4 linked regions of the Drosophila melanogaster genome follow. The protein of the gene in region 1 binds, or shares a complex with, the protein of each later gene. Each region holds a gene or a part of one and is shown in the gene's direction. Other genes may lie near its edges. The genes, in order: MED24, MED4, MED18 and MED7.

The links.
Region 2: MED24 (region 1) and MED4 share a complex: the UniProt entries of both Drosophila melanogaster proteins name them as parts of the mediator complex.
Region 3: MED24 (region 1) and MED18 share a complex: the UniProt entries of both Drosophila melanogaster proteins name them as parts of the mediator complex.
Region 4: MED24 (region 1) and MED7 share a complex: the UniProt entries of both Drosophila melanogaster proteins name them as parts of the mediator complex.

What each region holds. Positions count from the first base shown.
Region 1 is NT_037436.4:8,189,324-8,198,321, forward strand, and holds MED24 (mediator complex subunit 24), read left to right. Parts: upstream 1-1,946; 5' UTR 1,947-2,065; coding exon 2,066-2,155; intron 2,156-2,198; exon of another isoform or gene 2,199-2,248; coding exon of another isoform or gene 2,249-3,003; intron 3,004-3,090; coding exon of another isoform or gene 3,091-3,685; exon of another isoform or gene 3,686-3,793; intron 3,794-3,866; coding exon 3,867-3,953; intron 3,954-4,011; coding exon 4,012-4,169; intron 4,170-4,238; coding exon 4,239-5,081; intron 5,082-5,148; coding exon 5,149-5,509; intron 5,510-5,566; coding exon 5,567-6,384; intron 6,385-6,523; exon of another isoform or gene 6,524-6,527; coding exon 6,528-7,152; 3' UTR 7,153-7,250; downstream 7,251-8,998. Other genes in the region: Atg18a (Autophagy-related 18a), read left to right, coding at 1-122, 519-646, 728-945; CG7387 (uncharacterized protein), read right to left, coding at 2,249-3,003, 3,091-3,685; NEDD8-conjugating enzyme UbcE2M, read right to left, coding at 7,417-7,560, 7,819-8,120, 8,199-8,298; Dhps (deoxyhypusine synthase), read left to right, coding at 8,969-8,998. UniProt on the Drosophila melanogaster protein: Component of the Mediator complex, a coactivator involved in the regulated transcription of nearly all RNA polymerase II-dependent genes.
Region 2 is NT_037436.4:7,248,395-7,252,709, reverse strand, and holds MED4 (mediator complex subunit 4), read left to right. Parts: upstream 1-2,182; 5' UTR 2,183-2,265; coding exon 2,266-2,502; intron 2,503-2,560; coding exon 2,561-3,100; 3' UTR 3,101-3,181; downstream 3,182-4,315. Other genes in the region: CG14830 (uncharacterized protein), read left to right, coding at 512-534, 602-1,030, 1,092-1,611; Cdc27 (cell division cycle 27), read left to right, coding at 4,029-4,052, 4,131-4,206, 4,276-4,315. UniProt on the Drosophila melanogaster protein: Component of the Mediator complex, a coactivator involved in the regulated transcription of nearly all RNA polymerase II-dependent genes.
Region 3 is NC_004354.4:1,863,952-1,868,216, forward strand, and holds MED18 (mediator complex subunit 18), read left to right. Parts: upstream 1-1,957; 5' UTR 1,958-2,062; coding exon 2,063-2,187; intron 2,188-2,234; coding exon of another isoform or gene 2,235-2,257; coding exon 2,258-2,544; intron 2,545-2,611; coding exon 2,612-2,853; 3' UTR 2,854-2,936; downstream 2,937-4,265. Other genes in the region: Gcna (germ cell nuclear acidic peptidase), read right to left, coding at 1-156, 219-1,785; Pex5 (peroxin 5), read right to left, coding at 3,057-4,265. UniProt on the Drosophila melanogaster protein: Component of the Mediator complex, a coactivator involved in the regulated transcription of nearly all RNA polymerase II-dependent genes.
Region 4 is NT_033777.3:10,758,717-10,763,072, reverse strand, and holds MED7 (mediator complex subunit 7), read left to right. Parts: upstream 1-2,040; 5' UTR 2,041-2,139; coding exon 2,140-2,469; intron 2,470-2,530; coding exon 2,531-2,863; 3' UTR 2,864-3,002; downstream 3,003-4,356. Other genes in the region: Cap-H2 (chromosome associated protein H2), read right to left, coding at 1-44, 624-826, 1,048-1,229, 1,457-1,490; CG31272 (uncharacterized protein), read left to right, coding at 3,884-3,929, 4,258-4,356. UniProt on the Drosophila melanogaster protein: Component of the Mediator complex, a coactivator involved in the regulated transcription of nearly all RNA polymerase II-dependent genes.

The sequences.
Region 1 (8,998 bases):
AGCTACCTGCCCACGCAGGTGACCGACGTGTTTAGCCAAGGCCGTGCCTTCGCCTCGGTCACTCTGCCGGAGGCGGGAGTGCGCAGGATGTGCGCTATTGCCACGATACAAAAGCAGCTAAGGTGAGTCTAGCACGGATCAGTTTTGTTTCAGTTCAATTTGCAACGAAGAACGCACGGGAAAGTGAAAAAGCCATAAAATTCTACCTAGCTATAAAGAATTTCGAAAACTGCAATTCTATGCGAGCTTAATACCTCAGGTAGGGAATCTGAGTTCTAGATACCAATGCAGTTGTTCCGCGTAAATCATTTACACTACCTACTTTATCTGGCTTCATATGTTTGAATTTCCCTGAACTCTGTTGAAATGTAATTAATATGCTCTTTGCAAAAGTAGCCTAGTACATTTCATAAAGGTTTATAAAACAAAAATTGAATCACGTGCAAATTGAACTACAAACTGATTACCCTGCCTCTATTTCAAGTTCTAAATAACGGTTCATTCTGTTGTATTTGTAGACTTTTGATTGCCTCGCAGGATGGGTACTTGTACGTGTATTCCATTCCCACCGTCGAGGGCGCAGAGTGCCAGCTAATAAAGAGGCACGACCTGCGGCTGGAGGACCACTATGCCATGGATATCAAAGGTGCTTAACTGTTCGCTTCTCGCACACACTTCACACTTACACACATCCCAACCAAACCCACAATCGAAACAAATTCTCTAGTTGATTCACCTCAAACTCTAGGCCTTAACAGTGGCGTGAGCATTGGCGGAGCAGCTGGAGTTCCGCCGAGCAGTGCAAGTGCAGCCGGAGCAGGCACTGGTGGAAGTGGCGGTGATGGCAAGTCGGCTGTTTCTGTTACCGGTGGTGTCGACAAACCAAGTAGCTCCTATGCGTCGGCCGTGAAGGGTGACGATCCCGTGGGACCCTCATCCGCTTAGACAAGGTCAATGATCAAAAATGAGAGATGCAGCGATGGTAAACGAAACTCACTCCTCAAAGTAATAAGGACGATGATGCTAAAGTGATTACAATGATGCTTGGCGACTGGCGGCGGCGATAATGATGATGAATAAACGACGGTGGCTCTGTGGCGTCAAGCGTATTTAAGTAAATAAATAGGTCATAGACTTAATTTAGCTCTTAACGTTGTCAGCGATGATTCTTCCTCGTTTTGTACCAGCCAATATTCCTTTGTACGGCCTCTCCCTACCCAAAACATTTTTTAGTTTTAAGCCTCCGTTCCTGGCGCTGCCATTGGAATGTGAAATGCTTTTGTCATACACTCCTAAGTTAGTTGTTAATTAATAATTTAGACGGATTTACAGATTCGCTTTGATATTTGAGTTGCCAGCTTTTTATACAAAATAAACGGCCTTTGCAAATTAGTTTTTAATTTTTTTATTTTTCCAGTCCTCGCGCATCTTCCCTTGACAATCCACCGAACTCGATTTGTATGTAAAGTTCTCGCCTAGCTATTGTTTAATCATATCGAAATATCTCGGATTAAGCACATACACCACACCTATATATATATATTATATATTCAATTTAAAATTTAACATTCAGCTAGCGACACGATGAGTGAAATGAAATTCAAAAAATCGGAGCGTGCAATGGAGGAACAATTTTCGGCATATATAAATAGAATATATTTTGTACAAAGTCAAATATTTTAGAACATAATGTTTAAAATGAAAACAGTTTACAAATGAAACTCATACGCTACTTTATTGTATTCAATAAATTATTTGAATTAAAATTTGTTTGTGGGTGCCTTTTCGGTGTCTTAAAATATATTTTAATATTATTTCCTTTATTTGGCTAAATTCCTCGTTGCAAAAACAAAATTTTCAAAATATTTAAAATTGGCGACAAATTTTAAGATTGTGTGTTTTTCAACACTGTAGGATGGGAAAATTATGGTACTCTTTTGGTATGATTAATAAAAGATACCTCGGTCACACTGAGCGCTGCTAAAAAATATATTAGGTTTAAATAAAATAAATTGCGTGAAATACGAGAAAAGTAAAAGTTATATTACTTCCACGGACGCGAGAGATGAAGGAGAACAACAAGATCCTCCAACTCATCTATGTGGCGTGGCGCGAGCGCTGGACGGACTCCCAGTGGGGCATCAACATAAAAAAGGCAAGGCAACCCAAGCAAATCAACACACCAAACAATCAATGTTCGTGTTTACCAATATATTGTAAACGCAATGAGGCCGGTACATTGAGAATTTTAGTGACTCAAATTGCCCGCCTCCGTGCTCTTAGTCTTGGGCTCGAAAACCGGATCCTCTGCCTGGGACAGTGCCAAAACCAGTTGGCGTTGCTTTACGGAGAGATTCCGGGGTATACGCACCTTCAGCGTGACGATGTGGTTGCCCACGCCCTCCCTGGAGCGCACCCCCTTGCCATTGAGCACCACCTGGGTGTGGGATTGGGTGCCCGGCTCCACACGCAGCTCCACGCTTTCGTACAGACCCCGTATCTGAAAGGATCCGCCCAGAATGGCCTCCGAGATGTTTAGGTGCTTGTCGGTTAGAATGTCATTGCCAACGCGTCGGAAATAGTCGCTAGACGGCACCGACAAGCGGTAGGTGACCTGCTGCTTCGTTTCCGGATTTATAATGTTCACCACATCACCGTCCCGGGATCCGGAAGGCACCGATACCATCACATCCACATTGGACACCACGAAGCCGCGATTCGAACATGTTTCGCAGTCGTTGCGATTTGTGAATCGCTTGCCCTTGCACTGCGTGCATGTGTTCACCGATGAGAAGGTTGGCGTTTTGGTCATGACCTTTCCAGTTCCATTGCATCGCCGACAGGGTTCCTTGCCCACATCCCGATGCGCCATCAATTGTGACTTGCCCTTGCAGGTCTCGCATTTCCGCAAGTAGCGCAGCTCTATCCGCTTCTTGCATCCCACTGTCGCCTCAAGGAAGTCAAGTGGCAGATCGAACTCGTTGCTCTTCAGTTTGTTGATCTCTAGAAGGCGATTCAAGGATCGTGTTCATATCGTGATATAGTGAAAAGTGAAATGGTGTTTGATGTATCTAAAATCCGTCTGCTTACCATCATTTGTCGTCTTATCCGAATCGAACTTCTTGGCCTCCTCGAGGCCCACATTTAGGGGATTGCCCGCCTGTTCAAGAAAAGCGCGCTCATCCTTAATCCCGCCCAGCTGATCGTACTCCAAGCGCTTCGTCTCGTCGGTTAGGATGTTGTAGGCGTTGGACAGCTCCTGGAAGTGCTTCAGCTTTTGTTCCGAGTGCGTCGAGTCGGGATGATAGCGCTTGGCCAGCGCATAGAAAGCCGATCTGATTTGCTGGATGGTGGCGTGCCTGTTGACGCCTAACACTTTGTAGTAGTAGTCCTTGGGCATGCCTCGGCTTTGCGGGTACTTAACAGCCGGAGATGACACCTGTTGAGGCGTGGCTCCCGCTGACGTTCGCTTCGCCTCCCGCTGGCGATCTGGATAGTAGGCTGGTTTCGTGGTCCTGAACTGATATTGACTGATCATCCGCATACAGATCCAGCAGGCAGCGACAGCGGGAGCGCGATCCAACTCCAAACAATGTGACGTCTTCCTGCAGCAATCCGTTGCAGCTCCGCTAATTAAAGTGCTTAATACGTCTCCAGGACTGCGAAATAATTTTAAACGAAACATTTTTTATCGCGTAACGAAATATGCAACTATGTGTGCTAACTATATAAGTGGAAATCCTAACTAGATTTTTAAGTGGTTCTGTTTCTGTTTATTTTATGGGGTTGTGACCCAGATATTGTGTTAAAGTTTGACAGGAAAAGAAAATGTTTCATTATTGTCTTTCCCTTGATTACTATTTCAGGTGCTGCCGAGAGGAGTCAGTGGAGATGTATACAATCTGGCTGACTGTCTGATGCAGCAGGCACTCATTGGTTCCACGGCTAATCCGGTGAGTAGTTGATCTGAGTATTTAGATTGTTTTCTAAATTGTAATCTATGCTTTTCAGTTGGTTCTTAACTACCTGAAGCATTCACTGTGCGCCCATCTCGTTTCTCACGCTGCTGTTATTCGGTGCATTGCCAAATATGACAAATTAGAGCGCGTTTATTGCATTACAGCGCTCCTTGAATTCCTGGCCAGCATCGTGGATGGCGTTACCTGCCGGTAAGTCCTTTTAGTTTTATAAGTCGTTAAAAAGCAGGAGTAAAAATAATTGTTCATTTCTATTTCCAGAATAAAATCTGAGGAAGCGGTTTTACCGAGTTCCGTCGTCCACTTGGTGTACTGGCTGCTTCAAATCTTCGCCAGAACTGTGCAGCACTATGAACTGTATGGTGAGATTAGTGCTGAGCAATCATACATGCTGGACCAGACCTGCGTGGTGATAGATCGGCTTAGCCAGCAGCAGTTCCTGCTGTCTATGCTGTACGTGGGCTGTCACGAAGAGCTCGAAATATGTGGACGGATTCGGGATAAGTACGCTACCATCAAGGGATCGTTGACGAACTCAAACTTTACGCTAAATGCACCACAAGTGGAGCAGCAATTGCAGCAGTTGGCCTTTATAGAAGCCAAGCATCTTGAAATGCAACCACTTAATCCGCCGTCAACACTCGAGAAGATCTCGTGCTGCGTGCAACCCTTACTGGCGGTGGAAGTGCTTCTCAATCCGTGCAAGGACACCAGCTACTACGTGGCTGAGTTGCAGATGCTGCAACGATTAAAGAAATACTCCAATACACGGCTCTTCTACGAAATCATCCGTGCTGGATTCCTCACGCTGAGCAATGTTGCGGATACAAGTCCTGACACTATGTGGGGTGCCTTTATGTTCTTTAAAATGCCGCACATCATTAAGCAATTGCACGCCCTGCAACGGATTCCCGGGGAGCAACCACCACCGGCCGATTACATACCCGAGTTGGTGGAGGCTTTGGAATTGCTCATCGAGGACAATCTGCTGCTAGACTTCATGGATACTAAGTGCTCATGCAATATGATCGAGTTCCTTTTGAATGACTGGACCAAGCAACAACTAGTCAATGATGTCCACGTAAAGAAGTTCGCCAGTCAAAGGTTAGTCGAGAAATCATGCATTTTGTACACCCATCTTAATTATATAATTTAAAACGAACTCTTTCAGGGAAGCCGCCTCTCAATTACTCAAAAAATGCGACAATGGCCAACAGACACCCTCCAATATAAACTTCATCAAGCGCGCAGAGGTTCCGCTTTCCGGAGTACTAAAAACGCTGTGCACCAACAAGGTCCAGGACATGGTTAATGTCCTTTGCCAAGTGCCGGTGGGCAACAGCTTCGAGTTGATTCTTTCAGTGGCTACCGTCGAGGGACGCCTCAAGACATTCGTATCGCGTCTGATCCAGTGCAATGAGAACTCCAAGCCGGTGCCGGGCGACCTGGGCAAGCTATGCGTCATCCGGTCCACTCTGTTTGATGTTTCCTTCCTAATGTTGACAAGCATTGTGCAGACCTATGGATCCGATGTTCGTAAACCCGCCTGTTATTACGCTGCAATTTTAATGAATTCTATTTTACTTCAGGTGGTCTTATCTGAGCGTGGTGACTCATTTTTTGAAAAATGGGTGCGTGAGTGCATGGTGGAAAGGAATAAGCTTAAGAATCCGCGTCAAATTCTTGCCCTCTGTGATGACAGTATTGTCGACGAGCTTTTGCTTAGCTTCAGTAAACCAGAGGCATCACAACTTAAGCCAAACAACTTAAGTTGGCAGGAGACTTGCCTTAATCTGCCCGGAGTGCTTCATCATGTGCTAATAGCTTGGGAGCAGGAAACGCTATCCTCGGCGGACGTTAAAAGTATTCTGGACAATATTAAGAGAAGACTTTTCAGTTTTTCCGTTTGCGCCACTAGTTTTCTATGCGCCTACATGTATTCGGTGAAGGAAACGGAACTTCTGAAACCACTAAACATGATTCAGCAGTTCCTGGCTCCGTTGACCAGCGAAGAGCTTTCCAGCCAGGAAAATGCCAAGGAGCGACTAGCTCTCTCCTATCAGATTATCAGAAAAATGCAACACGATGTGCATCCTGCCCCAAGTACCAAGTCCCGCCTCATTTCACATTCCCCGCTAGTCGAGCAGTTTCGGGAGGTGTGGCGAACAGTAGTCGATGCTGGTCACCTGCCCGTTCGCGCCGCTCAGTCGTTGGAGTCGCTTCTGCTAGCCGGTGGCGCGGCGTGGCTGTCCACGCAGTTGGTGGAGCAACTGCTGGCCTGCAAGTACACAAGGGATATGTCGCGAACCATGGACGTTGTGTTTGCCGTAATGCATCTCGACATTGAGAAGACCACTGAGGCGTTGCTCCAGTACGTGGTGGCTCCACTGATACTGCGACGACAAGGGTAAATACCAATATTTTCTTCTGTATATTATTTCATTTATTTATTATCTACAAATCGAATCGATTTAGCAAGAAAGGATGTAAAAATTGAAACTGCTATGATAGAACTCGTACTCACAATTTGGCAATCTTTTTTTTTTCTAGTGAGGACATTAATGAGCCCCAATCCCTGGTACTGGCCCGCCTCTGTGTTTACTGTATTATTTCCTGCCTGGAGAGCCGCAAAGGAAATGGCACTTCCGCTTTGACGGCCATGAAGAAGCGATCGAGATCTCACGATGACGAGGAACTGGCGGCCAATGCAGCCAAAGTGCGCAAGGTGATTGGCGATGGCAGCGACAACTCAAGCGACTTTACGGACACTACGACCGGAGCTGGCCTGGCAGCATTATTGGGCTCCACTTCCACATCTGAACTGCGGACTACGCCGCTTACTCTAAGAGAACCACTGCAGACGAGCGTGCAGCACATTTTCGCAGTGTTCCTGCAGTTTGTCAGTGGAGATGAACTGTCGCCCAAGGCCGTTTTTGTTTATCAGTTCATTTCGCTGCTGGTGGAATGCGGTGGTGAGAGGGTCGCTCCCGTCCTGCGCTTGCTGCCCAACGGCCTGGTGCAACAGCTCCTGAAAGTTTTGGTCACCGACGACATAAAAGTGGGTCTCATCAGCAGACTATACGATCTGCGAATCCAGGCAGGAAGACTGTCCGCTGTGTCTGATCTTTGCCTGTGGCGAAATATGCAGATGGCCAGGCACAGCATTCATCTGTGAGGGATTTGGATGATTGCCACATTGGGTATGCCGATTATGATTAAGAGACGGGTGGGCGAAATTGCTAAATGAATTGTATTAAAAACTAGAAATTGGTGACTTGACTCGGCTTCTTCTTTGCACGCAGTGGATTTTGTTTTCGTTTATTACAATAATTTGTTGTCGCCGATGTTCGTCTGTGTTTTGCTTCATCTTCTTCAGTTAGCGGGTGTAGGGGGAGGTGTATGGACAGGCTTAAAGTAAGAGACCTTGCGATTCCCTATATCACTTGAGCAGACAGCACTCGAAGTAGGTCTCGCCCACACAGCCACCACGCATCGCCTTCTTTACATTGTTCTCGAACTGACGGCGGTTGGTCTGCAGGACGTCGGCCGCCTCCTTGTTGAGCGGATCCTCGGGATTGGGTTCCTGGAAGCAGTTAATTTGGATTAGTAATACTGTTGGCTTGGGTAATAACAAAAATAGAAATAATGATCGTTAAGTGGTATAAACAAACATTTATATTGAATTGTTTCAGTGGGCGTTCAATTAAGCACACTTAGAAATCAATTGTTCACAAAACAAGACATAAAAAATCAATTGTAACTTGAAAACTGTGGCTGTTGATCAAGACTTATGGAACAAAGCGTATAGCCTCTAAAATAACACAAATCACGAAATACAAACCAAGAATAGAAACTGCAAGCCATAGACGATGGAGTTGATGTTCAGCACTGGATTCCAGTCCTCGCGCAGAATGTTGAGGCAGACGTTGCCATCCAGGTCAATATTGGGATGGTACACCTGGGTGGCGCACTTCACCTTGGGCGGCTCGTGCGGATAGTTGGATCCGACGCGGAAATTGAACACGAAGCGCCCGTCTCTGTAGAAGCCCTCGTCGGGCGAGATGATAAGCTTGAAGTTGAGCAAGTCATTGGGATCGGGAAAGTCTGTGGCGCAAGTGTTTGGCAGGTTCAGTTCGTTAATATCTGGGGGGAGGAAAACAGCCCAAGATGGATAAGTAATAAGCGAGAGTTGATCATACCAGGTGCTGGATTGGAGACTACCTTTCTGTATGCGCAGCTGGGCGGCGGACGCTTTCTTCTGCTGACTGCCCTTTTGCTCGCCGTCTTTCTTCTGCTGCTTAAGCGTGAATAGTTTAATCATCTTGGCGTCCTCGTCTCGCTGGCGTTTCGTCTTCCGCGTTTGGCTGTGCTCGAAAGTTTCTGGCTCTCTGGGGGGCTTTTGCTGCTTGAGGGACAGGTTGCATTGTTTGAAATGTCAGTGGTTTAAGGGCAATTGTTTCACTGAATCTTTGGCCTACCGTTAACAATAGAACTGATGTAAAAAATCACTTCGAGTGCTTTCTATCCTTTCCTTGTTTCTGCCCAGCGATATGTGTAATTAATCGATGGTTGCACCCGATAACAGTCTGCTCGATAGTTGTTGCGTAGTGCTGGTAAGCGGACTTCGGATTCAGCGGGATTCAAGCCAAGTTTGGATACTTCGAAACGAAGAAAATTTTAAAACCTAAATTTTCGACATGCAACCGGTGTCGTAATATATTTGAAAATCATCGTCATAATTTTTTTTTTTAAATATATATATTAAATATATTTATTTAAATTAAACGCAAGTCTTTGATAGCTGGTTTTTCTTACTTCGTTCCATAACTACGTAAAACTTTGCAGATAAATTTAAAGAAATATTTGTTAGCTACTTTGCAAACCACATCTCTATCGGAAACCAGGGCTGCCTTAACCAGCACATGTTGATTAATGCATTACGATTGGGCTCCCCTTGAGCTGTTTATTTTGAATTTCAACAATTTCTGATTATGTCGACGGAGCCATCGGTGGCCAAGGAT
Region 2 (4,315 bases), 940 kb from region 1:
CTACTCCATGGACGGCCAGCTTATCGAAATACCTCCTTCTTTATGATCCTTTGTCGCGTGTTTAATATTAGCAGGGTATCGCATTATTTTCAATTAAAAAACATTTTCTCTGGAGTTGCTTAAAATTTTTAATGATCCAGATGTTGCTCTCGAGTTTATGTGTAATTTTAATAAATATTAACTATTAAACTTTTACAACGAGCAGAGAACCCAGAGCCATGAAACTTTACGTTACGCTTGTGAAATTCAAACAAACCAGTTATTTTATTGAATATGGCTGCTGTCTGCAGTCGAATAAAACTTTCATCGCTCTAATTAAAAGTTCTAAGCTAGTCGATAAAGTGAAGCCAAAACCTAATTGCCATGAAGTCGAGCTCATCGTGTGTTTGTTTTGCTTTACTTACCCATTGCAGGCACCTCGAGGAATTGCTAGACGGGTCCATTAGCAGTCAATCAGCCGCAGAGAAGAGCCAGCAAAAGATACAGATACAGGCGGAGCAAAAGATACAGGATGCACGAGAGACAAGTGAAGAAGTGAGTAGCGCGGATGGGCCACTTAACGGCTAATACAGCGGCGATAACATTTGCGATCCAATTACAGGTTGAAGGGCAGCCATTATGTGGCCACGCACGGTCGCCTCACTCCGGATCCGCCCTACGTCCACTCGAACCGCGGCTATTCCACCGACGGCGATGAGACCCACTCCCACCGGGCGCCCTCGGAGCGCACCTATTCGGAGTACACGTTGACCCACGAGCGCATCTCGCCGCAGTACAATGGTTCGCGCAAGAAGCGCTCCTCATCCTCGAATGGAAACCATCAGCATCAGCACCTGCAGAGCAGCTACAGCCACAGTCAGATGGGCCTCTCCAGTTCGCCGGACAACGGAGGACCTCGCTCCCTCAGCGGACCGCCGCCCACGCGCCAGCCACCGCGTGCTCCGTCCGCCCTGAGCTATGACCAGGCTGGTGACGCCGGCAGCGACATCTATGTGACCAGTGCCGCCTACAAGGCGCCCTCCGAGATCAGGTGCGTTGTTACAACTATATAGCATATAACCCATATCTAAACTATCTATCATCCATTACAGTCGCTACAGTCAGCGTCCAGTGTCGCGAGGAGCTCCACGGAGTGTTTACTCCGTGGCCAGTACGGCCAAAACCGGACGCAGTGCGCGCTCGACGACTCGGCGAGGCGCCAAAGTGGAAACCATGTCCGCGCCGAATCCATTTTGCCCCAATGTCAAGGGCGTGTGCTGTCTGATGCTGTTGCTCAACTTGGGCCTGATCCTGGTGACGCTAGGATTCGTCATTGTGGTGCAGTTCTATGAGCCACTGTACGTGTGGATACTGGGAATTGTGTTCCTGGTCTTCGGCTTCCTCACGCTAATCGGCTGCATGATCTACTGTGTGTACGTGTTCCGGGATGCGAAGACGCCATCGCAGGTGCGCAACGAGGATCTCTACTGGACGCGGCACTGGCAGAAGAATATCGGATACACGCCGCAGGAGATCAACTACAAGGCGGACAAGTACGATGCCTACTCGGATCGCTATTCGGTTAGCAAGCTGAGTGGCAAATACTCGGATCGCGAGAGCCAGCGATACTGATTGTTATGCATATGTACATATGTATGTATGTACATACATATGCGGTTTGATGAAAGGGGATCCTTTGGGCGGAGAAGAAATATGAATAGCCACATATAAACCACTTATATCTTAACTAATTGTAAGACTATCTACTAGTTCTAAACGGTTATTAACAAGGCCCCTCCAACGTACCTGCTGCAAGTTGCTTGCTGGTTTGTATGTTTTAAGAGTGAAACTGACGGGAGACGCGAACGCGAGGATGCAACAGAGTATTGTAATCTGCCATATTTGAGAAGGTTTGTTAGGTTTGATTTGGCTAATCAACAGAAGAGTTTTATGCTAAAATTGTAACTGCAATTGTAACACACGAGAAATAAACAAGCAAATAATACCTACTAGAGATAACGCTGCGAATTTGTTTTATTTTTGAACAGTCTCTTCTACTCTTTGCTTTTGAGTACTTGATTCCCTTTTTTTTGAGTGTATGAAATAACCCATGTGGCAACTCCTATTAGTCTGGCAACCTCTCTGTTACGGTATTTTTACAACGTGGTATTAACAGCGCTCCGGAATACTATACGGTATATTTCAGCAATCGAAGAACGGCCACATTGCGGTGTGGAAAATAAACAAATTGCAATTATTGCTTAGCACAAACGATTTGCCGTGATAATGTCGTTTCATTTGAGCACAAAAGAGCGCCTTCTGCTCCTGATCGACGACATTGAGATGATTGCCAAGGAGTTGATCGAGCAGGCGCACCAGAAGATCTCCAGCACCGAATTGGTGGACCTGTTGGATTTGCTGGTGGCCAAAGATGAGGAATTTCGCAAAATGCTGGAACTGGCGGAGGAGCAGGCGAAAGTGGAGGAGGCGATGGACCAACTGCGCGCTAAGGTCGAGGTGCACGTAAGTAGAAGTTTTGCATTCCCCAAAAATAAGGTATAATCTGGATTTTCCCGCTTAGGACCGTGAGATCCAGAAGCTGCAAAAGTCGCTAAAGGATGCGGAGCTCATACTGTCCACGGCCATCTTCCAAGCGCGACAGAAACTGGCCAGCATCAATCAGGCCAACAAACGACCGGTTTCATCCGAGGAGCTCATCAAATACGCACATCGGATTAGCTCCGCCAATGCGGTCAGTGCTCCGCTCACCTGGTGCATAGGTGACCTGCGGCGTCCCTATCCCACGGACATTGAGATGCGCAACGGGCTGCTGGGTAAATCCGAGCAGAACATCAACGGCGGAACAGTGACCCACCAGAACAGCGGCATGCCCTCGGAGCAGCAGCGAACGCTGTCCGGTAGCGCAGGAAGTGGGAGTGGCAGTGGCGCCGGCGGCGAGGTGCCCAATGCCTTCCAGAACCAGTTTAACTGGAATCTCGGAGAGCTGCACATGACCATGGGCGCCTCTGGGAACACAGTGGCCCTGGAGACGCGCGCCCAGGACGATGTGGAGGTCATGTCCACGGATAGCTCAAGCTCCAGTTCCAGCGATTCGCAGTAGAATTGGATAAAAAACTATAACTAAATCTCGTTTAAGCTAGTAGTATTAGGTATTTAATAAAAGCGCGCTGTAAGGAAGTCTAGTTATGTATATATTTGAGTAGCTGGGATACATATCTAATTTTATGACCTTCTTTAATGATATTAATTTACAATTTAAATTGGCATTTAAAAAAATGCAAAGTTATGTATCAGTGGAAACAGCTTATAATAGCTTCGTGTCAAGAGCTTGGTACTTTTGCGCTAGTGCGATACGGTCCTCCTCAACCATATAAACAATCGATTGGCAGGGTCGCGTGCAATCGATACTTTGACAGCTCGCAATTATTTTAGCTTTGGTTTTTCAAATAAAATGGAATGCAACGCGTATGCAGCGTGTTTCAAGTAGCTAAAATGTGGCCAAGGTGTAGTCCAGTGTCGCCGCCAATCGCAGATCAGCCCCGTGTGCGTCTTTAACGAGAGATAAGCCCCGAAAACGATAGTAGAAAACCGACCCCCCGTTCGCAGTGTGTGTGTACAGAGGGCGAAGCGAAGCGAAGGCTCGACTCAAACCAATTGCAATATCAAATATAAAGAAAAAGTGGAAGTGGAAGGTGGAGTGGAGTGGAGGCCAGGGAGCGAGAGACACCGCCATCGCCACTTGCATCGCCGCATCCGCAATCGGGTTACATACGACACTCACATACCACACAGCCAGCCAGCACACAGGCCAAACTTTTACTTTTTCCCATTCGATATTGTTGGAAAAAATTTGGCCAAAAGAAAACAATTCGAATACAAATACAAACAGAAGAGTGTACGAGTGGGGGGCGACATGATAGTTTGTTTGAGTTCTACACACTGCATGTTTGAATTATTGTAAAGCCCTGAAGTACAGTGAACGTACATCTCATAGAGCGCCCCTAGAAAGTCGCACATACCGCCCAGACATGATGATTCAAGAGCCCGTGCAGGTAAATCAATAGCTCCTCGGTCCACCTGGCCTCTATAAAAAACCAAATTTTCTCCCTTCTTTTTTTTCGCTCCCAAAGGCCGCCATATGGCATTGCCTGAACTACTACGACTTCAAGGATGCCGTTTTCCTGTCGGAACGCCTGTGCTCAGAAGGTATAGGTCAAGGTCTCGTTTGTCTGACCGGGTATATCACTGATTTTCTCTTTCACCGTGTCCTTGCAGTGGAGAGCGACGAGACGATATTCCTGCTGGCCACCAGCTA
Region 3 (4,265 bases), on another chromosome or scaffold:
CTATGAGCTTGCGCCAGCGATCCTCGTCTATATGATTGGTGCGTGGGCGTGTCAACGGCTTTTGAGTCCGCGGACGTCTCTCCGTTTGGACAGCGCGCATCGGAGGCAGACGAGTCGAGTTTAAAGGAGTCTGATTTGTGCGCAGAGGTTTAGTAACTGGGGATTAAAGCGCGTGTGACTCAACGGTTGGAGGATAAAAAGCATGGATAAATTCTTACATATGCTGAAGTCCCCGAGAACACTTTCATCTGGCTTGGGCTTCTTTTTTTTAGCGGTGGTTACCGCTGTTGCTTGAATATTCCTGGGCCTCAGAGGAGCCTGTTTACCGCCACTACCACTGGAGCGCTTTAGAGTGCGGATCACATCTGGTGTCTGCCAAGACTTGCCGTACAATTGATTGAGCAGCTTTTCTGCGTGGGTGAGAAACTGCTCATCCTCGGATGCATCATCCACAGACAGCATGGATTTTTGGTGGCTCTGAGGGTCCTGCTGCTGGTGCTCTTGGTGCTGCACCTCCTCCGAGCTGGGCAGGGACTTAGTGGCCCTGGGCGAAGAGTAATGCTCATCGTCGTCTTCCGCCGAACTTGACTCCATAGTGGGAATGCTGATTTTAATGTTGATCTTCGCTGAAATATTAATACTGCTGACCTGGATAGAACCGTGTTCGTCCCCTCCCGATGTGGAGGAACCAGAGCTGGCCTTTTGCGGCGTGAGCTCGCCCTCGCTGCTGGTTTCCGGTATTTCAATGGATTCATCAGGAACGGGCTCATTGTTGTGAATCGTCGAGTTATGGGTCTCAGAACTATCAGAACACAGGGTGTTGGGCTCGGTGTCATTGTCTGCTAAACGCTTGCTGCTGTATGTGGGCTCAAGCTCCTCCGATCCGAGAGTATTCGCCTCCGTTTCGTCGTCTGCCAACCGCTTGCTGCTATCCAATCGAGTGGCATCTGCTGAGCAGATGGTATTCACCTGCGTATCGTTGTTCGCCAGTTGTGTGCTGTTGTAAATCGGCCTGGTAGTGGGTGGCTGCCAGTCCTCGTCGGTGGGCGACATGGATTCGGTGTCCGCATCGGCTAGACGGGATTGCCGCTGGCTGGAAGAGAGGGGGGGCGGTGTCAATGGGCCATTCCACTCCATCTCGCGTCGCTCTATGGACACATCGCGCAGAAAAGCCTCGATGCGCTGCACTTTTTCGGTTGTGAGCATGGGCTGTGGTATGTCTTCCTGGCCGGGATTAGCCACAATTTCCCGTTCACTCACAGCCATGCTATCGGGAGGCAAGGGTTCTTGCTCATCCTCGCTAGAATCGGATATGGTGATACAGGAGGCGGCGTCGTCGTCGCCGGATACGTTCTCTTCCGTAGTGGAGGAAATGCAAATGGAGATCTCCGGCTTGGCCGAGTGCTCCTCATTTATGGGCTGCACTTTCAAATTGCTGATGCCAGCGGACAGGAGCTCTACATCGCCCACATTTGCCACATCCTGGCTGCAGCCGTCGGCGCTCAGCTGCAAGGCTTCCATGTAGTCGGAATTGTCGAGTTCTGTGTCCTCCGTATTTGCCCCGCAGGACGGAGCGGGTGCTCCCACATTGGCGCGCATGGGAGCTGCTGGCAGTTTCCTTGTTTTCTGGTCGTTCCTCTTTTCTGGATGATCCTTCGGCGCATGGGACACCTGGAGTCGTTTTTTGTGGGAGGATAGCGTCAAATTGGCGAACTTTTGATTGAAGGGAACTTTTACTTTGCTCGGGTCGACCGCATTGAAGAGCCTATACTTATGATCCGCCATTTTGGGGGCGTCGTTGGGGCATTTACGGTAAATCAATCTCTATGAATATGCTTTAAGCAAAATTCGTATTTGCTATTATTCTGTGCGCGTCGATTTACGTTCATCGTTATCGATAGACTATTTGATTTTCCGGCATCTAGCTAGTGCTGTTCGAAAATGTCTAAAACGGCATCACTAGTAAAACGAATTCTTCCAAGGAAATGAAACTAAAAACAAAACCAAACTACTGCTCAGTTAATTTAATACCATAGTACACCCAAACTTACAAAATTAGCCAATGGCGATTGTGTCGTCGGCCCGTGAGTCGCTCTCCCATGCGATGAACAACCGCTTCTTGCCCAACCTGGAGTACTTGCTGCAGGGATCTATCCTGGATTCCGCCGTGGAACACTTGATGCACAGGTGGGAGACCCAGTGTCAGATTTGAATCGTTTGCACCCGACTAACAGTCTAACCGCCTACCCACTATCAGACTAAAGGGACTCTGCGACAATGTGGACACCTCGCCGGAGCCGTTTCACGATCTGGAAGTGTGTATGAGCCTTCGCCAGCCCAATGCCAACCAGCCGCTGCTTCTTCGCGTGCGCCGAGCCCTTGGTCGCGATGCACCCTTTCAGATGCGCTACCTAGGAAACCCCGAGGTGGATCTGCGCCGGCCTACATTGGTACGCAGCTGCATGGACTGCGCCTGCACCAATGGCATTTTGGAATTCCTCACGGAAATGGGCTTCCGCCTGGAGTTCGAGTACATAGCAAAGGGTTGGAATCATGAAATATATTACGCTTGGGTTGCCAAAATGGATAGTGACAAATGGACTTATTTCAGGCTATATGTTCCGCAAGGGGCGCATGAAGATTACCGTCTCCAAGCTCATTAAGATTGTGCCCGGCAAGCAGCAGGACATGGCCAACGAGCCAATCTCACAAAGCTACATAGTGGAACTCTCTGTGGTGGCGCCAACGGGGCAGGAGAATGTCGGCGAGGAAATGCGCGTGTTTGCCGAGCAACTAAAGCCACTCGTGCAGCTCGAGAAGATCGACTACAAGCGACTGGGCGGCATGCCGTAGTTTACAATAAAAGTGCACATCGCATTTATCCAACAGTTATTTAATTTCTTAAATGTAAGAAAATATACAAATTTACAGAAAAGAACCGAGAGGGAATGATTACACTGCCAGAGTAAAAAATATCTCAAATTCAACCTTACACACCCACATGACACGACAACAACGGACTTTCCCAAAGCAGTGATAAAGAAGCTGCGGGGCGGTTAATCCTTAAAGGCCTCATTAAGAGCCGCCAGATTGCGATCGCTCACATAACTCTGGAGATCGCTGCGGCCCATCAGCGAAATGACCATCTTCAGCGTACTCCAAATAGACTCGGACATCTGGTTCTGTCCTCTAAAGGTAGCCGCCATCGCCGCATTGGGCAGCTCTCGGGCGGCGTTAGTGTGAGCCTGCATGGTAAGCGCTGTGAGTAAGTGCTCCACAGCTTCCTTGTAGGCCTTAAGGTTCATGCAACATACGCCCACGTTGTAACGCACACGGATGAAGCCCGGTTGGAGCTGCAGCGCCTGCTGATAAGCCTCCACCGCCTCCACGGAGCGCGAGCCGTTGGCCAAACTGGCCCCCAATCGGTTCCATGTCTTCGCATTTTGGGGATCCACCTGCAGAGCGGACTGGTAGCAGTCCACCGCCTTGTCGAACTCCCCAGATAGATTGTAGAGCACGCCGAGGGCATCCTGGACTTCGGCATCCACCTCCGAAGGGTGCTGTCGAACGGCTTCCAAGTAGATCTGCTGCAGATCGCGCAGCTTACTCGGACCAATCAGCGACGAAGCCAACGAAGTGCCCTCGGCCTGCAGCTCCGGATGGGCTGCGACCAGGTGCTGATACTTGGGATGCACTGTCAGCCAGTTGCACAGCATGCGCACGGCGTTGTTCTGCAGGCCCTCGTTGGTGTAGCACGCGGCCAGGGCCATCAGGACCTGTTGGTTGTCCGGTTGCAAGTCGTAAGCCCGCTTAAGTGCCGCAATGGCCTGGGGATCCATTTCGTTCTCTGTCTGCGAAGTGCCCAGCAACTGCCAGACCTCAGCGCGCTCCGGTTGCTTTTTGGCCGCCACCTCGAAACATAGAACTGCGCTGGGTATATCCCCTTTGGACAGGTACTCCTTACCCTTTTCAAACGGGTTCTCCACATCAGACATGGGGTTGCCCTCGGCGAACTCGTACTCCTTATAAGCGTCCATATTGTCGTTGTACTCCGACAGCCACGGATGCTCGTTCTCGTCGGCCAGCTTCTGCCACTCGTCTTGCAGCCGCTCCCAGAACTTTTCGTTGAAGTTGGCGGCGGTTTGCTCTTTTTGTTCGGTGCTGCGCTGGTAGTCGCTGATCCAGTCGTCCAGCGATTCCCCCTGTGGCGCCTGTGGCAGATGATCTGTGATTATAGTTTCCATGGCGGAGTCAAAGAAGGGGTC
Region 4 (4,356 bases), on another chromosome or scaffold:
GACGTTTGCGCGTTTCCTCAGGCCTGCGCTCGTTTTTCTCCGGTCTGTAAATATGAAAGGAAAACAATTATTATATCGCTAAATGCAGATTAAAAGAGGATAAGATTTCTTTTTTTTAAAGGACTGATTATTATGTAACTTAAATATTATAATGAAATCATCTTATGTTTAATCAAAATACTGGTGCTATCTTTAAAATTAATTAGACTTTCAACATTTAGGTCAAATAATCTCCCCAAATTCTTTAATGCCGGCTGATAAGAAAGAATTTAAGTGAATTATAATGTAAAAATATTTATTTAGGATGTGATCTATCTCTGAATAACTTGTTATTTTTATGAATGAACTGTCTACGTTTTTAGCTTCACTTGTCTGGTTAATTTCTCATTTCTTTATATACTCTGTTTGTTATTTGTTTTTGGAAGCACGAGAACGTGCCCTATCGTCCATTAACGGCAAGCCGGCTTCTGTGATATTAATGCAAACAAAGCCGAAGGGGGCGTAAAGTGAAGCTCGATAAGCGGAATTCTGGACCGAAAAGAGCCAGCAATGGCGACAAGTGGGGAGCACGTGGCCTTGTCTTTCTCCATCTTCTTAACTCTTCAGTTCTGAGTTAAACTTACGCAGCACTTCCGCTAGGGGTCTCCTTCTGCAACTCCGATGTGAGCAGGGCTTCGATCTGGTGCTCCACCACCTGGCACAGGTACTCCACTCGGTCTCCATAGATCTTGCCGCAGTACTGGAGGGCACTTCCTGCGGCCACGATGGCCGATCTTCGAGAGACATCATTTCGTCCTAAGCAGTGGCGCAGTAGCTCTTCAATATACTGAAAATATAAGCAATGTATTTGAGGATCTGCAGGCTTTTGTGTTCACTGTAAATAAAATAATAGATTTTCTTGAAAACCCATTTATATAATTTTAGTTAAAATACCAGTTATCGAGGCATGACTGTAAAACCCACGCACGTTGCGTCACACTTTTATTTTGATCTTTCTGCTCTTCGGCGGTTTTGCTTATCTTGATAATAGTGGTCTTCAACACTCACATATCCCAGTGATATCCGTAGGTCCGTGGAGTAGTCCGTGTTTTTGGAGAGCTCTTCGAGGAGGACGACTAGCGAGGCCAGGTCCTGTTGCTCATCGTAGGCGCGGATGCACTTGGCCACTTGGGTTCCCGGCCGATTCTTGGCTATTTCCAATATCTGCTCCCGCGCTTCGCTCAAGTAGGCTGTGAATTAAATAGAAACCGATTGGATTTACTTAAGCAAAAACCACACACCCAATCGCAGATCCGCTTTATTGTTTATTTCGGCCCTCCCCATACACACACACACACACTCGCATAGAAGCACCAACACACGCGGTATACTGGAAATAGCGCTGACTTAATCAATGGGAAACGAAGATCACGCCTGGGGCTGTCCTGCGTTGGTTACCTAAGTTCTGGATGCTTACCCGCTTCCGCTTCTTCAGGCAAAATCCGCTCCATGGCTCACTAGATGACACTAGGAAAAGTTTGTTTTATGTCCGGTTTTGCACATTTTACTGGCATCGTGCACAAGCACTGCAAGCACGCACACACGCTGAGTGGGGAAATCAAAATGGTGGAGGCAGCACGGCTTGTCTCTTAGTTGGGTCCAGTTATGTTATGGTTTTACGTTTTGTTTTCATTTCTTTGGCAGGAACAGGAATATTGGCGCGAATCGGTGCTGGAACAATTAGCTATTCACATCAAGATATATATGTGTTTCTTATTTTGTTGTGCTCTACCGACGAATGAGGGAAGAGACGGAGAAAAATTGCTATGGCAATGCTGTAGGGGGTGCATGCAAGCATGGTCACCTTTAAGTTATCGATAGCTAGGCACGGTGAATCATTTATTATTTCGAGCTCGATTAATATCTAATTTAATTTTTGTAATTGTAAATTATTTGTCAGTGTCTCAAAACATATTATAATAAATTCTGCTTATTATTGCATTGTCTAGCTTCAAACCTCTAGTGTGCTCATTTTTAAGAAAACAATTTGAGTGATAGTGTCATCACTATCGTGAGTGATTCGCCTGTCTCAGGTGCCATCACTTCTTCAAAACAAAAATCATTTATTATTTTTGTATTTCCGCACTTGTTAATCTCATAATGTCCAACCAGGAGACCCAGGTTTCCAGCCTGCCGATGCCGCCGGAGCGGTACATCGCCAATTACACGGACGAGAATATCCGCCGCAACCGAGCGCCACGCCCACCGCCGCCGCCGGCGCAGCACGAAGTCTATAGCATGTTTGGCATCCAGTACAACAACGACGAGATGATCCGCAGCTTGGAGTCCCAGAATATTAAGCGACTGATCCCCATCCATTTCGATCGGCGCAAGGAGCTCAAGAAGCTTAACCACTCCCTCTTGGTCAACTTCCTAGATCTCATTGACTTTCTTATCCTGAATCCTGACAGCCCGCGGCGCACGGAAAAGGTGAGTCAATTGACCCATTAAAATGTAGCATCTATTGTATTACACTCATTTGATATCTTAGATTGACGATATCAGTCTGCTGTTCGTCAACATGCATCACCTCCTCAATGAATTTCGCCCACATCAGGCGAGGGAAACGCTGCGCGTCATGATGGAAATGCAGAAGCGGCAGCGCGTTGAGACCGCCGCCCGTTTCCAAAAGCACTTGGAACGTGTGCGCGAGATCGTTAATACCGCCTTCTCAGCTCTGCCGGTTCTAGATGATGACGACGATAGCGGCGGAGCAAAGATTAAGACGGAGGTGGATCCGTTGGAGGCGAATGCGGCGGCCAAGAATGATCCCAGTTACCAGCACGATCGCATGTTGTGCAAGCTTGTGGACGCTATCGAGTAAGCTGAGTTGGCAAAAGACTGGACATCGACGCTGGAAATAGTGTCAATCATTGTGAATGGCTTGGAAAAAAGAGCTCCTCATATTTATAACTCCTTTTAGTATAAGAAATAAAACCCCAATTGTGGGATGAGAATCTTGCACGTCTAATGAGTAATTCATTCAATGGGAATTAATGTGTTAAGTCATCTTTGAGATAAGCTTTACACAGATAAGATCCGAGATAAAGGCTCATGATTAAGCATCCCACAAATTTCACCATTAAAATGACGTAGTCAGCGTGGAGTAATAATATAGTCAAATGTCATAAATTAATAATCTATCTAGAACAATTTATTCAGGATAGGAATAACAATATAAATGTATATATTTAATTGTAAAAATTGTAAAGACATGTGACATGACATGAGACATGAACACCTCACACGTTTTCCTACTTTTAATGGGTGCTACCGCATGGCATCATCGTGGCTAGCCGAAATATGCTCGTACAGTGCGTTTCATAATGTACATATACATATGTGGTTTTAATGAATTTGTATGGAGTTTCATCAAAATTACTAATTTTGTTTGATAAACATGATTAAAAAGTCAATAGAGATATTCATTCACAACTGGAGTATAATGTTTTCCCTAAAATTTTTTTAACTCACTGTGCCCTTTACAAAATCCAACGTGTTTTTCTAAATAAACATGGTTTAATACGTTTATTAGCTTTCTTAGATTGTAAAGCCCGCGATAAGAGAGATGTAGTTAAGTGAATCTTCACTTTTATTGAAGTAATCTCCGATAAAAGGAGGTGCCATGCGCTCTAGATGATCATTTCTCGTGCAGCATTGCAAGTGTGCAAGTCGGTTGAATAGGAATATTTTGAAAACCCTTAACTCATTGACTTTGAACTTAATTTTTTAAAGAACTTGTGGTTGCGCTTTTTAATTAAGAACTGCATCGTATTAATTGAACAATCAATTTCAAGAGCAAGCCGATTGTGAAAACCCATGGTGACAAACAGTAATAGCTAAGATGTCGGAAAAGAATATTAAAACAGCGATTCCAGAGAAAAGCAAAGGTAAAGGGTTAAAAAATAATTGGCAACTAACTACGATGGAGTAGAAAAAACCTTATAAACCCAATAAAACAGAGCTTCCTTAAAAAGTGCATTGTTTTTAAGAAGTATCATGTAATAACCAGTCGCAAATTAACTGAAATGTGTTTATTGTGACAAATTTAAGCGTAATCTTTTATGACACTGAAAAATAGACGTAAAATTATGTGATTAGTCGTAATCTGAGTTTCTAGAAATTTATCATAAGTGCCTTAAACAAGTGTGGAAAAGTTTAGTGTTAGTGGTATGAAATTATAGCCCCATGGAATAAGTAGCCCTCTTATCGATTTAGGACTAGAAAATGACAAGGATGCTGATGGTAATTCAGATAGTACCGCGGAGGCAGAAGCCACGCCCACGGAAGAAGGTTCTGCCACCTTCGACAAGGCGA